Saccharomyces cerevisiae S288C: one gene and its partners. Changing the gene in region 2 together with the main gene of any one other region gives a genetic interaction. Each region holds a gene or a part of one and is shown on either strand. Other genes may lie near its edges. The genes, in order: DGR2, HUT1, PPN1 and HCS1.

Region 1 (4,670 bases), on a different chromosome or scaffold from region 2:
TAGCAGTTTTCTTAGCCGCAGGATCGCTCTTTTCGACATCTGTGTTGACAATTAAGGTGGCTAAACCAACAATGTCTTGGATGCTCTTACCTTTTATTTTTTTACTCGATTCTTTTATTTTGTTATTTTTCTTCTTCGACTGTGCTATTTTTTCAATTTTACCTGGAGTTATAGATACGCCTCGTGGGCCTAATGCACTAAGTAATCTTGAAACATCTTTACTCTTATTAGTAGTAAATTTATAGTTCAAGGATAAATGCGAGTTATGAGTTCTAAAGGACACTTTGGTGTCTGTCTTCTGTGTTGGTGGTTTATACGATATGGAGAAGAGCGTTTGAGATGGATTCACCTCAAAAAGGCGAACACTGTTCGTGATGTAGTTGTCAATGGGTTTCACAGACATGTTTTCCAGTTCAATTAGGTCTGTTAATTTGCTCGCGGAGGGAAGCTCTTTTATTTGGGTCAATCGAAGACAGCACAATTGAAACTTTTAGCATTGTTCTCGCGAAAATAGTCAGTTCTTAACTTTTCAAGAGTGGTGCGGCTTACCCTGCCTTCTGCCATAAGTAAAAAGTGACGCAAATAGCGGAACTATTGTCATTGTTATTGACATTAATAATCTGTATTTGTGCTCATCCGGTTCCATTTACTAGTATGCAGACGTATCTTTTTCAGCTGGACGAATTGAGGCTTTCATTAGCTAGTGTGGTAATGACAAACTCTTTGCACTGAGAAAATACTGGGGTGAGGAAACTTTTCTACCGAATTGCTTCCACATCTATCAAAGCATGATTATCAAGTATTCAAAGATCAAAGCATGATGTTTGCAAATAATAAATGTTCAGGCGTCATTTAATGTTGATAATGGTGTACGGGAAGTGACTTGTAAAAGGTAGGGGAAACCGTCAGTCTATCACTAGTGGTGTATCTGATGGAAGTGCCCTTTTATATTTTTTGCCGTACACAGGTAAAGAAATGAAAGTACTAATTATCCCCCATACTCTTTGTTTCTCTTGTGTTGTTTATGATCAATCCTTCTAATTTAATCATTCAATAACTAAATATTTAAAAAGATGTAATTGCCGCAAAAAAAACTCTCAATTATTTACTATTTTGAAACAGTCTCTCAGATAGTATGCGCCATATTGGTGTGATGATTCCTGTGAAAGCATTTTTGGGTTTGTTTAGGTGCCTTCTTTTCTTTATTTAGCATAACCGCCAATACGGAATGAAAAGTCCGTTTTAATGTACCGCTAATAATTCAAAATGCGTAAAAGAGTTTTCATAAAAAGGGTATTTGCGTCAAGCAGGAAGAAATTTTGAAAACAACTAACAGGCAACTTACAGGCATATACTGACTTTAGTAAACGTCTTCCGCTATTCTAAGAAGGAGCTGACTTGAACAAGATCTTTATTTTAACGGTGCGACAAAAACAAGGAAAGTTTACAAGCGCTAGCCGTCGAAGACGTCAATTGCACTATTACTCAGTACCGTTTTAATCCTTACCAACGTAGAATTACTATTTGTGCAGTAGGAGCCTGTGAAATGTTCAAGTCGAAAACAAGCACTTTAAGCTATGATGAAACCCCGAACTCCAACGAGGGTGATCGCAATGCAACCCCTGTAAATCCCAAAGAAAAGAGCCAAACGAAACATTTGAACATACCAGGCGACAGGAGCCGACATTCCTCTATTGCAGATTCAAAAAGAAGCTCTTCTAGATATGATGGAGGCTACTCTGCCGATATAATTCCTGCTCAATTAAGGTTCATTGATAATATAGACTACGGCACGAGGCTGAGAAAAACACTTCACAGAAACTCAGTGGTTTCAAATGGGTACAATAAACTCAGTGAGAATGACCGATGGTATTTCGACCTATTCGATAGGAAATATTTCGAAAACTATCTCGAAGAACCCACATATATTAAAATATTTAAAAAAAAGGAAGGATTAGAACAGTTTGATAGAATGTTCTTAGCTCAAGAGTTGAAAATTCCCGACGTTTACAAATCTACAACCTACCAGGGAGAACCTGCAGTTGCTAATTCAGAGCTATTCAAGAATTCAATATGCTGCTGTACGTTCAGTCATGATGGTAAGTATATGGTTATTGGTTGTAAAGATGGCTCTTTGCATCTTTGGAAAGTCATAAACTCACCAGTTAAGAGATCCGAAATGGGACGCTCAGAAAAGTCAGTCAGTGCCTCTAGAGCAAACTCACTAAAGATTCAAAGACATTTGGCGAGCATTAGTTCTCATAACGGCTCCATATCAAGTAATGATTTGAAGCCGAGCGACCAGTTTGAAGGACCTTCCAAACAATTACATTTATACGCACCGGTTTTCTATTCTGATGTGTTTAGGGTTTTTATGGAGCACGCTTTAGATATTTTGGATGCAAACTGGTCCAAAAATGGATTTCTAATAACAGCATCAATGGACAAAACTGCAAAACTATGGCACCCTGAGAGGAAATACTCATTGAAAACTTTTGTTCACCCAGATTTTGTTACATCCGCAATATTTTTTCCCAATGATGATCGTTTCATAATTACCGGATGCTTAGATCACAGGTGTAGACTGTGGTCTATACTGGACAATGAGGTTTCTTATGCCTTTGATTGCAAAGATTTGATAACATCCCTAACATTATCTCCTCCTGGTGGGGAATATACAATTATCGGTACATTCAATGGATACATTTATGTTTTACTGACACATGGATTAAAATTTGTATCTTCATTCCATGTATCTGATAAAAGCACTCAAGGAACCACTAAGAATAGCTTTCATCCATCTTCCGAATATGGAAAGGTCCAACACGGCCCTCGAATCACGGGTTTACAATGCTTCTTTTCTAAGGTGGACAAAAATTTAAGATTGATAGTTACGACAAATGATTCAAAAATTCAAATCTTTGATTTAAATGAAAAAAAACCTTTAGAGCTTTTTAAAGGATTCCAAAGTGGTTCCTCACGTCATAGAGGCCAATTCCTAATGATGAAAAATGAACCTGTAGTTTTCACGGGAAGTGATGATCATTGGTTTTATACCTGGAAAATGCAGTCCTTTAATCTTTCAGCAGAAATGAATTGCACTGCTCCGCATAGAAAGAAACGGCTGAGCGGCAGTATGAGTTTAAAAGGGCTGTTGAGAATTGTATCTAATAAGAGTACGAATGATGAATGTTTGACAGAAACGTCAAACCAAAGCAGCTCACACACATTTACCAACTCATCAAAAAATGTTCTTCAAACTCAAACTGTTGGTTCTCAAGCTATCAAAAACAATCATTATATATCATTTCATGCCCATAACTCCCCTGTCACATGTGCTTCCATTGCTCCCGACGTTGCAATTAAAAATTTGTCCTTGTCAAACGATTTGATTTTCGAACTGACTTCACAGTACTTCAAAGAAATGGGCCAAAATTATTCAGAATCTAAGGAAACATGTGATAACAAACCTAATCACCCAGTTACAGAAACAGGAGGATTCAGCTCAAACCTATCGAACGTTGTGAATAATGTTGGAACCATTCTAATAACAACAGACAGTCAAGGTCTAATCCGTGTTTTCAGAACTGATATCTTACCGGAAATACGAAAAAAAATAATAGAAAAGTTCCATGAATACAATTTATTCCACCTCGAAGCTGCTGGTAAAATCAACAACCACAACAATGACAGCATATTGGAAAATAGAATGGATGAAAGAAGTTCCACAGAGGATAATGAGTTTAGCACAACCCCACCATCTAACACGCACAATAGTAGGCCAAGCCACGATTTTTGTGAGCTGCATCCTAATAATAGCCCGGTGATTTCCGGCATGCCATCAAGAGCTAGTGCTATTTTCAAGAATTCGATCTTTAATAAATCCAATGGAAGTTTTATATCCCTAAAGTCAAGAAGTGAAAGTACGAGCTCCACGGTGTTTGGACCGCATGATATTCCGAGAGTTTCTACCACTTATCCGAAGTTGAAATGTGACGTCTGCAATGGATCTAATTTTGAATGTGCTTCCAAAAACCCCATTGCTGGCGGTGATAGCGGTTTCACGTGTGCTGATTGTGGTACAATCCTCAATAATTTCAGATAGAGAATCAGAAAGTAAGAGGAAAAACTATCTGTTCCACCGTCTTTAGATCATAAGCATGTCTGCAAATAACATAGTATTATTATTTATATCTGTAGCGATCTTTATTATTTTTCATTACTGACACATTTTCTCACAGAACCATCTACAACCCGAAAGATGCCGGAAACGGTCTTAGGCCGATGGGGTCTATTAGGGCCTACAGAGACGTCAATTGGGCTATAAGAAAAATGAAATCGAGGAAAGATTTTCCACTCTCAAATTAAGTAGGGCAAAAATATGCTTTTGTTCGCATGTGGTGTTATTCCAGTTGCGAGTCAGGGTCTGCCGATATGCTAAAGGAGGTCACGAAAACGAATCTGGCATTTAATACCTCATTAAGTTACAGCGGAATCGGCCTTCTGTTGCGGAAAAAAAAAAAAAAAAGAAAACGAACATTAAGCACCGCTGAAATTTCAAGCTGTGACTAAGTCGTCAAATGATAAATACTGCATATATATAAACTATGTGATTATATGCAACATTAAGATATACTTTCTTCTTCCATAATGCCCCCACTCCAGAACTC
Region 2 (3,222 bases):
TCATCTGAATACACACCAGGTAGCTCCATTATGTCCGATAAATATTTTGTCAAATTCTTCACAATACGTTCCATTTCTTTATATTTGGTTAACTTCGATGGTAATGAAGTATTTAATTTCAGCCATTGATTCCATAAATGAGTAAACAAATCTCTTTCACGAGATATAGAGGTCAAAAGAATATTATATTTAATGTAGGCTAAAATTATCTGATTGTTTTCAGAACTATTTTCAACCATCTCGTCTATGTCATCTTGATCGTCGTGGTTTGCGATGAAAAATTCATGACGGTCTAAAGCTTTCTCCAATTTTGATAGCCTCTGTGTATATTGAGTAATCTGAGTTGGGTGGATAGATAGACCTTGTTCCAAAAATTGAGCAACTTCAGCATCGATTATCTTGGCGTTGAAAGATCTCCAGTTTATGTTAGTGGTAACCTTTTGATCTTCAGTTGAGGTTGTAATTTTTTTCATATTGAATCCATTGTCTAATAACAATTTCACAAGCTCATCGTCCTTGTTCTCATCAGATTGAACTCTTTCCACGATAAAGTTATTTATTTCGGGCGTTGTAATTAAATTTCCCGCGTACTGCTTGAGAGAGTACTGGTATTTATTAACAATGTTATCTACAACTTCTTCAGCTAATAAGCTTAGATTCTTCAAGTGTTCCAATGCGGCGAAAACGAGGGCTAGGTTGTTCGAAATTTTGGCATTGTCCTTCCTCTTGAACCTTTTTCCATTAATTAGGTACTCTGAATGTACCAATTTAGCGAACGCTAAATATTGGGCACGAGTTATCCATTGCTGTTCATTTTGAGTGACGTTAACCAATTTATCAGCAGTCTTGCAGGCCTTCTTCAATCTTGTGGATAAAACCTTTTCTTCACTTTTCTTTAACTTTCCTCTTTGACGAGCTCTCAATTTCAAAGTTTCAGCCAGTGCCAAGTCCCTTTCAGCGTGTAGTAAAATCAAAACACCAATCAATTTAGTTTTATTATCATAATCCTCGGAGTTAATTTCGCCATACTTATTTTTACTTGAGTATTTCTTTGTATCCTTGGTGACCAAATGGCAACGGCTCCTCAAGTGTTGCAACTTTTTATTCAATTTCGCATGATACTTAGCGAAGTCTGAGTCTGTTTCTAAAAACTGTTCTGCACGATTACCATAGGTGGCAATGATTGGAGAATAGGCAACCATCTTTAGTTTCAAGCGTGGCTAGTTTTTGATTCAATATGGAAAAAAAGAAAATTACACTGTAATATAATACAATTGATCACTTTGATGCTCAAATAATTCAAATAACCTAGTCTCCAGCTGCTCGTTTATGCTAATATTGTTGGATTAACTCTAGCAAATATACTCCAAAAAAAATTTTCAGAACTTATCACGAACAACGATGTGGTAAAGACAACGAAATACTACGTAAATCATATTGGTCTGCTCGTTTATAAAAGCTTACTCCCAATCAAATCACTGCAATGGAATATGTCGTTTGGTTCGTTGTTGTAGTTTGTGGAATGCCAGAATCATCAGCTGTTTCTCTTCCAAAGCTTCCCTGAGATCGCTTCTAAAGGTTGTTTTGTAGATCCCATCGAACATGAAAAAATGACAGCAATGTAATTAGAACCAGAATTACAACGTAACAAGAAGAAGTAAACAAGGCAGTATTCGTATATTTGTATGGCGGGAAGTACATCCAGTTTGGTGATCTGTGCGATTGGTATATATGCTACTTTTTTGACGTGGGCATTAGTACAGGAGCCTTTGGCTACAAGAACCTGGCCAAACTCCATGGGAAAGTTTCAATTCCCTAATGTAATATCCCTCATACAAGCTTCTGTGGCAATGATGATGGGCTACCTGTACTTAAACTGGAAGAAGGTGGAATATCCGCCCAGAAAAATGATTAAAGATCATTGGAAACAATTGATGTTGATATCATTTACACAGAGTAGTTCAGGCCCGCTGGCTACAACTTCTTTAAAGCACGTGGATTATCTCACTTACATGTTAGCAAAGTCATGCAAGATGATCCCCGTGTTGTTGGTGCATTTGCTTTTGTATAGGACGCCCATAGCAAGCCAAAAAAAAGTTGTAGCTCTCTTGGTAAGTCTCGGTGTCACTATTTTCACTATAGGTGGCAACGATGGTAAAAAGTTGAAGAGATCCTTTAATGAGAGCGGAAATGATAACAAATTACAAGGGTTTGGACTACTTTTCTCTAGTTTATTCCTTGATGGATTGACCAACGCCACCCAAGATAAGCTACTAAAGGCCAATAAGGCCAAAGAAAAGGGAAAACAAACTTTGATAACAGGTGCACACTTGATGTTTACACTGAACCTCTTCGTGATATTGTGGAATATTTTGTATTTTATTGTGATCGACTGCAAACAATGGGATAATGCCGTTTCTGTATTGACGATGGACCCACAAGTGTGGGGCTATTTAATGCTTTATTCGTTCTGTGGCGCTATGGGACAATGCTTTATTTTCTATACTCTAGAACAATTTGGCTCTTTAGTTTTGATCATGATAACAGTCACCAGGAAAATGGTCTCGATGATTTTGAGTATTATTGTCTTCGGTAAGAGTGTACGTTTCCAGCAATGGGTGGGGATGTTTATAGTATTTGGTGGAATCACTTGGGAAGCACTCAACAAGAAGAAGGCTAATATACCGAAGGCAAAATCTGCGTAGATTAGTGAAGATCGCAACAAATAAAAGTTAATATTTATAAAATTTGTCTATACTATGTACTTCCTATTTTTTTGATGGACGAAGCAGTCTCTCTCTTAATTCAGGATCGTATGCATAAACATACAGACCACGCACGCCACGAGTTAAGAGGACATTAATGCTATTCATAATAATCTTTTGCTTAACGTCCTCTGCATTGTGAATGTTTTTCTTTTTGGTGAAACCGGCCCTATCGTCATACAGCTCTGGTCTTAGTTTGATGCAGTCATTAGCCGCATCATACCCAATGGAACGGCCCAAAATTACACCAGCATAATTCAGATCAAACCCTTGGATAGTATACACACTACCTACCTCATCAATCGTGTCGCAACGCTCACTCCAAGGCGTCACTTCACGTGGAGTATAGCGATCCCAGCGAACTTTGAAATTGTCACCACATTCAACGTAATAGTCTTTTCCGTCCAAGCGATAGGGAAAATCGTAAGTAGATAGCATCCTACATTGGCCGTATTGA
Region 3 (4,381 bases), on a different chromosome or scaffold from region 2:
GTTAATATTGATAGCATCAGTGCTCAAGAAAATAAACACTGAGAAAGATTAGTTTTTGAAAGAATTGAGATCGACCTCCCCAAGGGGTTTTCTTTCGTATGCATTGAACTTTAGGCGGTTTTCCTTGCCTTTAGGACTTTTGATAATCTCGCTATGACCGGTATTTGATAATGTTCTCTTAACAAGCACAGATTTCCTGTGGAACTTGAGCTGTCCGCCGGGCTTGCAAGGCGTTATGTGGTGGTCTTCGAAGATCGAGGACGTATTGGCAGGTGAAGTTTTCAGCAACTCTGCAGTAATAGCCTCCTTCGTACTCGTTGGCGTAGAGGTAATTTCCAACGCAGCGTCTGAGTAAGATATCATAGACATCGAATCATTAGAGTGAACTTTGCAATGGCTGGTGTTGCCACTGTTCTTGTGCTTTTTAGCAGCCTGCCTTTTGTTCTGAAACCATATTTGAACCGATTTTTCGGACATATTACATTGCTCGGATAACTCTATCCTTTTAGCCTTATTGGGCGTGGGACATTCGTCAAATGCTGTTTGCAATATCCCAAGCTCATATGATGAAGTTCTTCTTCTTTTCCGACGAGCTAACCGAGCATTGTCTATCTTAGGCTCCTTCTTTGGAAAAGTTTCCTGTGAGTGTGTAATAAAGGCAAATGACCTTTTCTTTTCTTTTCTTGTGGTTGGTGTGAGAACAGCCTTTGCAGCAGATAGAGGAGTAAGAATATTAACTTTTTTATAAGAGTGCATACTCTGAGGTGGCTGCTCTTTAGAACAGACTCTGACCGTTGGCGTGAATGGTGAATGAGAGCTCAGCTTCTTGGGCTTGGATAAAGGCGTCATGGAAGTGGTTACACGTTGTGATAAGAAATCCACAGCCTGTGGACTTTTCCTTTTTGGCCTTTCCTCATCGCAAGGACTTTTATAAATATTTACCACTGGTCTCACAATGTGCGCAGATGCAGCTAATGGTGGCAACCTGATGTCACCTTGGTCATCACTAGGGAAGTTTGTATTTGGCAAAGTATGCAGTTGGAAAGGCGAATTAGAAGTACCTGTAATAATGTTTGGTAAAGAAGGAAGCACGGTATTTCTGCTTTCCATGTTATATATATACGATATTTTGTGTTATTGTTATTTCCCTACAAATGCTAGTTACACTGGCTGGCGAGGGTAAAGAAGAAGATAATACGAATTATAATCTACGTTGGCAAGATCGGGAGGACGCCATATATATATTTATAAACATTCATCTGTGTGATCCAGATCAAACAAATAAACAATGAGTAAACGAAAAATCTGGCTGAAATGTCTCATGCTATTAACCCAATTCAGCATTGATATTAAAAATACCGACGTATCCCTGCACGGAAAGCGCGTCTGATGTTTACCATTCCGGGTTTTTGGCGCGCGTCATGTCCAAATTAGGACGTGGTTTATAGCCGAAAGAGGAAATGTGATCTGCCCACCTGTGCGGCCCTTCTCTGAGCGTTTCGAGCAGGATGCATAATATGCTCCCTTCGTACGGTAGAGGACAAATATGACCATTACCCGACTATTGAGGACATATGTCGTTATTAGAATTTAGCACCTTTAAAGTTATATTGCACTTTTAATTACCAAGATTCATTTGAGAGTGTAAAGGGTTTTATGGTAGAATACAAGTCAGAAGAAGGCTAAAATCAACAGATCAATATTTTTTTTGGTTGTTGGGTTGGAGAATTATAAAGTTTTTTTGATCTCCTTGTCTCCAGCTATTGTTTTCATTGAGTAGGGGTAGAGCTAGTTAGCTGCTTTTCGATGGTTGTAGTGGGTAAGAGTGAAGTGCGCAATGTAAGCATGAGTAGGCCGAAGAAGAAATCATTGATTGCCATCCTGTCGACCTGTGTTTTGTTTTTCCTCGTGTTTATAATTGGTGCTAAATTTCAATATGTTTCCGTTTTCTCCAAATTCTTAGATGACAGGGGGGACAACGAGTCACTTCAATTGCTCAATGACATAGAATTTACAAGGCTAGGACTGACACCTAGGGAGCCAGTAATTATCAAAGACGTAAAGACAGGGAAGGAGAGAAAATTACATGGACGGTTCCTTCATATTACCGATATTCATCCTGACCCTTATTATGTGGAAGGAAGCTCTATTGATGCAGTTTGTCACACAGGAAAACCAAGCAAAAAAAAGGATGTGGCACCCAAGTTTGGGAAGGCAATGTCTGGATGTGATTCTCCCGTTATTTTAATGGAAGAAACTCTGAGATGGATTAAAGAAAATCTTAGAGATAAGATTGATTTTGTCATTTGGACGGGTGATAATATCAGACATGACAATGACCGGAAACATCCAAGAACAGAAGCACAAATTTTTGATATGAACAATATCGTTGCTGATAAAATGACAGAATTATTTAGTGCTGGCAATGAAGAAGATCCAAGAGATTTTGATGTGTCTGTCATTCCAAGTCTTGGAAACAATGATGTCTTTCCACATAACATGTTTGCACTAGGACCAACTCTACAAACTAGAGAATATTATAGGATTTGGAAAAATTTTGTTCCGCAGCAGCAGCAAAGAACTTTTGATAGGAGTGCTTCATTTTTGACTGAAGTTATTCCAGGGAAGCTTGCTGTCCTGTCAATTAACACGCTGTACTTATTCAAGGCCAATCCGTTAGTTGACAATTGTAATTCAAAAAAAGAACCAGGTTACCAACTTTTACTTTGGTTCGGTTATGTATTAGAAGAACTAAGGAGTAGGGGAATGAAAGTATGGTTAAGTGGACATGTACCTCCAATCGCAAAAAATTTCGATCAGTCGTGCTACGATAAGTTCACGCTATGGACTCACGAATACAGGGATATAATCATTGGAGGATTATACGGTCACATGAATATTGACCACTTCATCCCAACGGATGGTAAAAAAGCTAGAAAATCGTTATTGAAAGCCATGGAGCAATCCACTCGTGTTCAACAAGGAGAAGACAGTAATGAAGAGGACGAAGAAACTGAATTGAATAGAATTCTGGATCACGCTATGGCGGCAAAAGAAGTTTTTTTAATGGGAGCGAAACCATCTAACAAAGAAGCATATATGAACACCGTCCGCGACACATACTATCGGAAAGTGTGGAATAAGCTGGAAAGAGTGGATGAAAAAAATGTTGAAAATGAGAAGAAAAAGAAAGAAAAGAAGGACAAAAAAAAGAAAAAGCCAATCACTAGAAAAGAGCTCATTGAACGCTATTCCATTGTGAACATAGGTGGTTCAGTCATTCCAACTTTCAATCCTTCCTTTAGGATCTGGGAATATAACATCACCGACATAGTGAATGACTCCAATTTTGCAGTTTCGGAGTATAAGCCCTGGGATGAATTTTTCGAGTCACTAAATAAGATTATGGAAGACTCTTTGCTAGAAGATGAAATGGACAGCAGTAATATCGAGGTTGGGATCAACCGCGAGAAGATGGGCGAAAAGAAAAACAAGAAGAAAAAGAAAAATGACAAGACTATGCCAATTGAGATGCCAGACAAATACGAACTCGGCCCTGCATATGTACCGCAGTTATTCACTCCGACGCGTTTCGTCCAATTCTACGCCGACTTGGAAAAAATCAATCAAGAATTACATAATTCATTTGTTGAATCTAAGGATATTTTCAGGTATGAGATAGAATATACCTCAGACGAGAAACCATACTCAATGGATTCGTTAACAGTAGGAAGTTATTTGGATCTTGCAGGCAGATTATACGAAAACAAACCTGCATGGGAAAAATACGTCGAATGGTCATTTGCGTCTTCTGGATATAAAGATGATTAAGTTAATATACACATAGAAATGCATATCATTCTTCAATTACAGTTTCTTTTTCTTTTGTTACACTATTCTTTCAAGTCAATTTCATAATAATACAAAACCATCTTTCTTATCATATATAGGGTGATGTATTTTTAATTATTTAATAGGGCCTAGCGTTATCGTGCGAAGATTAATTATTGGCATTTTTGAAATACTCCTTGGAATCTTTAACGTCAGGTTTGATGGTGGCGGCTCCTGGGGTCCAGTTGCATGGCAAAACTGTACCATTTTTGTCAGTCCACTGGAAACCTTCGACTAATCTCAAAGCTTCATTGACGTTTCTGCCAACAGATAAATCATTGATAGTGATATGTCTAATGATTCCCTTCGGGTCGATTATGAACAAACCTCTTAAAGCTATACCTTCTTTTTCAATCAAAACGCCATAGTCTCTGGATAAGGAATGATTCTTATCAGCAAGCAAAGGAACTTTAACTGGACCTAATCCACCGTCTTTTCTGGGAAGGTTGGTCCATGCCAGTAAGGAATATTCAGAGTCGGTGGAGGCAAA
Region 4 (4,570 bases), on a different chromosome or scaffold from region 2:
TTAAAATTAATGATGCGACTTTCAGTCAATGGAATAAATTAGAATTTTCTAACAATGGAAAGTATTTATTAGTTGGCTCCTCGATAGGAAAGCATTTAATTTTTGACGCATTCACAGGTCAACAATTATTCGAACTAATAGGAACAAGGGCCTTCCCGATGAGAGAATTTCTAGATTCTGGATCTGCTTGTTTCACACCAGATGGTGAATTCGTCCTTGGAACCGATTATGACGGTAGGATTGCCATTTGGAATCATTCTGATTCAATAAGTAACAAAGTATTAAGGCCGCAAGGGTTCATTCCCTGTGTTTCTCATGAGACCTGCCCCAGGTCAATTGCATTCAACCCTAAATATTCGATGTTTGTTACCGCAGACGAAACAGTAGATTTTTACGTGTACGATGAATGACTGCTGCTACTGCATTGATATACTAGAGGATATAATATATAACGAACATTTTTTACCTACTGTATAACGACGTATACTCTATACATCTTGTGTATTCTTTACAAATAATCGTCAATGTTGGGGTACCTTACGTCAGCGTTCTCTTCACACCATTCTGACCAACTTTTTAGGTACTTGTTACCGCACCTTTGCAGAACTTCTATATTGCCAACAACAACTAGTTGCCTTCTGGGTCTTGTCATGGCGACGTTCAGTCTTCGTTCTTCCTTAAGGAAACCAACTTCAAATTTTTCATTGCTACGAACTAAACTCAATATGATAACATCTTTTTCACGGCCCTGGAACCCATCTACAGTTGATATTTCAATATCAGTTAATTTTAATTCATCATGGATCAATTTTTTCAGATGAGAAACTTGTGCATTGTATGGAGAAATAACACCTATAGAGTTCTCCGGGACGTTGAATGACCTTAAATTCTCAATGTGTTCTTTTACAATGGCAATTTCGCCCTCATTATACTTAGATCCAAGGATAGTAGCTTCATCTGCAGTCTCTTGAAATTCATCACCTTGCGTATCATACCAAATTAAAGGAATTTTTGTATCGTCATCATCCTCAGATGGCGTAGCATCGACGGTCGGTAGGTCTATCAAAAGTCTGTTCGCGACCGTTGCATCGGCCAATAGTTTCCCATTATACATTGAGTGCGATGGAAATTCCATAATTTTTTGATTCATCCTGTATTGAACGTTAAGAAATTTTACCATATCCCTTTTCGGGAATATTTTGATTATTCTGTCAAATAGTGTGGTTTCCAAATTGTGAATGACATTTTTGTCGTCTTCTGTTTTGATTGTGGGTGGCAATTGTTTATTGTCACCAGCAAGGACTAGTTTGTGGAACTGATTTTGATGTGCAATTAGTGGGATCCAGCATTGTGGTTCCATGGCCTGTGAGACTTCATCGATGATCAAGGTATCGAAAAGCTGGAAATTTGGATCATCTCTATAAAGGGAGCATAGTTCTCTCGATGATGAACCGTGTAAAGTGGTGACGACTATTCTCGATTGTATTATTAAGTCCTTAATGGTTTTGAACTCTCTTTTCTTTAAATCTTTGCGCAGCAGTTTAATTTCGTTCCAGTTTTCTTTACGTTGCTTATAGTTTTTTAGTTTTTTATTCTCCTGAATTAATTTGTCAATCTCCTGGGAAATGTCCTTCACAATAGTATTCTTTTTACTAAGTATATCAAGAGAGTGTCTTTTATTAGAGTCTAATAGCCTAGCAGGATGACCGATTCTTAATAATAAATTATTCGGCACAAGAGGCGTTAGCCTCTCCAGAATCGTATCCACAGAAATATTGGAAGGCCCACAAATTAAGATTCTCTCCTCAGGATTTTTAATTAGCAATTGCTGGATCAATTCAATTAATGTGAATGTTTTACCCGTACCAGGAGGACCATGTATAATGGTCAAGTCATTGTTAATGGCAAAATTAATGGCAGTTTTCTGGGAGTCATTCAGATTCGGGTTTAAAAAAGATTTAATGTTTTGAAAGCTGTTTGTATTGGGGATGAAGGGGCGTTCGTTTACCAAGTATTGTATAATTTTGTCTTGTATGGGTGAACTAATTTCAGACAGTTTTCTCATTGTGGATTCCATTCTATTATACGTGACGACATTGGTAGTCTTTAAAATGTAAAGTTTGCTATAAGAATAAAATGTGGTAGCAATAACATCTTGAGATTCTTCTAGAGCTATGGTGATTTGAGTATCACTCATTTTGTAGACAACGCCTGAGCATTCCGCTTGCTCGCCATTGGAGTCTTCAGACACCTTTTTGACTTTGGGCTTAGTCTTGGTATTTACTTTGGTTTTTGCAGGGCGTACCAAAACAATATCACCAACCTTAATATCACCCCTTTGAATTTTGTCGTTAACCGCCAAGTTAGGTCCCAGTTCCATATATAATTTGCCAATGAGACCGGATCTTATGTTTTCTAGATGTATGTTGTTTATTGCCAAGCCATTTTGCACCAATTGTTGGATAGATAGCGTTGTTAATAGCCTAGAAGTTGTTTGAATGTCTTGTTCACGTTCATGCTTGATGCTTGATAAAAACTTAGAAGCCAATTCTTTGTTCATTTCCCTCTACTCTTTTTTCTATATTTCTCAAGAGACAACTTTACATCAGCCTTCATATTTTTGAAATATATGTAACGTACAAGATTTTCTTAGCGTAAGGATATGCAGGCGCACATTTGTGTATATATGACAGTAAGAATGTTTAATTATAATATTTGCCAGTTATATAAACCTGTGAAAAAAATAATAGAATATGGTGCGTAATATATAGAGGTAAAGGGTACTACATCACATTCAAATTGCCGAATCTGTCCTTGTAACCAGGTACGTCCCATTTACCCTTCTTGACCATCTCTTCTACCTTAGCATCAATTTCAGGTTTGATCTTTGTCAGGTCGTCAACAGTTAATTCATCGAAAGGTCTTGCAGATTGAATATTATCTAAGGTGCTTTGCAAATCCTTTAACTCCTTGGAAACTAAGGATTCTGTCTCCTTGGCGTTGGTCATTGCGTGCTTTTCAAAAGACTCAATCACTTGTAATTGTTTGGAGGCATCGATTTTGACCGGCTTATATTGCTTAACGTATGATTCTATCTTGTCAATGACTGAAGTGTTTTTCAACACAGATCTATAATGACTGAAATCTACTTCGGTGGGTTGACTTTGCAGCTCTAGTAATTGTCTACGTGCCTCATCGTTTCTCTTTTTAAAACTCGATAATTGAGTGGCAGTCGACCCTGTTATACGTAGAGAAGAGATGACTTTTGCCCAGTCAAGTTTGTTAGCAGCGGATTTGGCCAAAGACATAGTCGAACAAAAATATAATTAGGTGATTCTGCAATTAAGTGCACGAAAAATTTCTTTTAAATCCTAAGATTGTTCTTTTGCGTTACGTGTCAATATGAATATATAAACTTATATAGAAAAGTATTGTACTAGTAGAAATATGTTTTACACCTACGCTAAGCAGCAAGTGGTAATTGGTGTATCTTTTACTTTTTTGGGGGCATCAAGACAAATATCCAATCAAATCGAAGAGAAAATAATTCTTGTAACCCGCTCATTAGTCACGTGGTCATCACGTGAGCATAATATATCACGTGATATACACCCATACCTCGTTTATGGGATTGAGTCATCGGATATGTCATTATAAACGATATTTCTCCGCGGCAATGAGGTGGCGAATATTGGAGTAAAAATGAAAACATCCACCAGGTGCTTGATGATATACTTGACTTCGGCGGCAATTTAAAGCTTTCTAAGCAGCAATTAGTAAGTAACCATTACAATAACGATAAATACGACACTGGTCCAACTAACTCATTGATAGGATAATTGCAGTGATCTTAACGAGTTTAATGGTGACCGACCAAGGCAGTAGGCATTCGATACAATCTAAGCAACCAGCCTACGTTAATAAACAACCGCAAAAAAGGCAGCAGAGATCTTCTGTCGCATGCCTTTCTTGTAGGAAACGTCATATAAAATGTCCTGGTGGTAACCCTTGCCAAAAATGTGTTACGAGCAATGCCATATGTGAGTACTTGGAGCCGTCAAAAAAAATTGTTGTGTCGACAAAGTATCTGCAACAACTGCAAAAAGACTTGAATGATAAAACTGAAGAGAATAACCGCCTGAAAGCTTTGCTCTTGGAGAGACCAGTGAGTGTACGTGGTAAGGATAACAGCGATGATGACGAGAGGCATATAAACAATGCACCCTCAAGTGACACATTGGAAGTATCCAGCGCTCCGGCGGCTCCTATATTTGACCTCATGTCCAATAGTAACACTGCGTCCGATAACGATAACGACGATGACAACAGCAACAGAATCACAAATAATAGGAGCTATGATCATAGTTTGGAAAAATACTACAAAAAGGCCATCAGCATCTTTAAACAACCAGCTAATGCTAATGGCGAAAATGGCAACGGTGCCAATGGTCATGAGGATGATGATGAAGATGATGAAGAAATATCAACAAATTTTGCTCAAAGAAGTGGTAGGCTCATAGAATCTCACAATGGATTCCATTATTTTGTTGGATCTTCTTCAATGACATTA

What was found.
Region 1: mutations in HUT1 (region 2) and DGR2 together harm fitness more than expected from each alone (negative genetic interaction), as found in Saccharomyces cerevisiae (one large-scale study listed by BioGRID).
Region 3: mutations in HUT1 (region 2) and PPN1 together harm fitness more than expected from each alone (negative genetic interaction), as found in Saccharomyces cerevisiae (one large-scale study listed by BioGRID).
Region 4: mutations in HUT1 (region 2) and HCS1 together harm fitness more than expected from each alone (negative genetic interaction), as found in Saccharomyces cerevisiae (one large-scale study listed by BioGRID).

The regions. Positions count from the first base shown.
Region 1 is NC_001143.9:212,596-217,265, forward strand, and holds DGR2 (Dgr2p), read left to right. Parts: upstream 1-1,546; coding exon 1,547-4,105; downstream 4,106-4,670. Other genes in the region: signal recognition particle subunit SRP21, read right to left, coding at 1-403.
Region 2 is NC_001148.4:86,497-89,718, reverse strand, and holds HUT1 (UDP-galactose transporter HUT1), read left to right. Parts: upstream 1-1,685; coding exon 1,686-2,705; downstream 2,706-3,222. Other genes in the region: signal recognition particle subunit SRP68, read right to left, coding at 1-1,202; YPL245W (uncharacterized protein), read right to left, coding at 2,769-3,222. UniProt on the Saccharomyces cerevisiae protein: May be involved in specific transport of UDP-Gal from the cytosol to the Golgi lumen. Involved in the maintenance of optimal conditions for the folding of secretory pathway proteins in the endoplasmic reticulum.
Region 3 is NC_001136.10:1,361,072-1,365,452, forward strand, and holds PPN1 (endopolyphosphatase), read left to right. Parts: upstream 1-1,806; coding exon 1,807-3,831; downstream 3,832-4,381. Other genes in the region: YHP1 (Yhp1p), read right to left, coding at 49-1,110; thioredoxin peroxidase TSA2, read right to left, coding at 4,001-4,381. UniProt on the Saccharomyces cerevisiae protein: Catalyzes the hydrolysis of inorganic polyphosphate (polyP) chains of many hundreds of phosphate residues into shorter lengths.
Region 4 is NC_001143.9:404,682-409,251, forward strand, and holds HCS1 (ATP-dependent 5'-3' DNA helicase HCS1), read right to left. Parts: upstream 2,561-4,570; coding exon 509-2,560; downstream 1-508. Other genes in the region: WD-repeat containing protein SWD2, read left to right, coding at 1-410; ATP7 (F1F0 ATP synthase subunit d), read right to left, coding at 2,784-3,308; PUT3 (Put3p), read left to right, coding at 3,863-4,570. UniProt on the Saccharomyces cerevisiae protein: DNA polymerase alpha-associated DNA helicase which may be involved in DNA replication.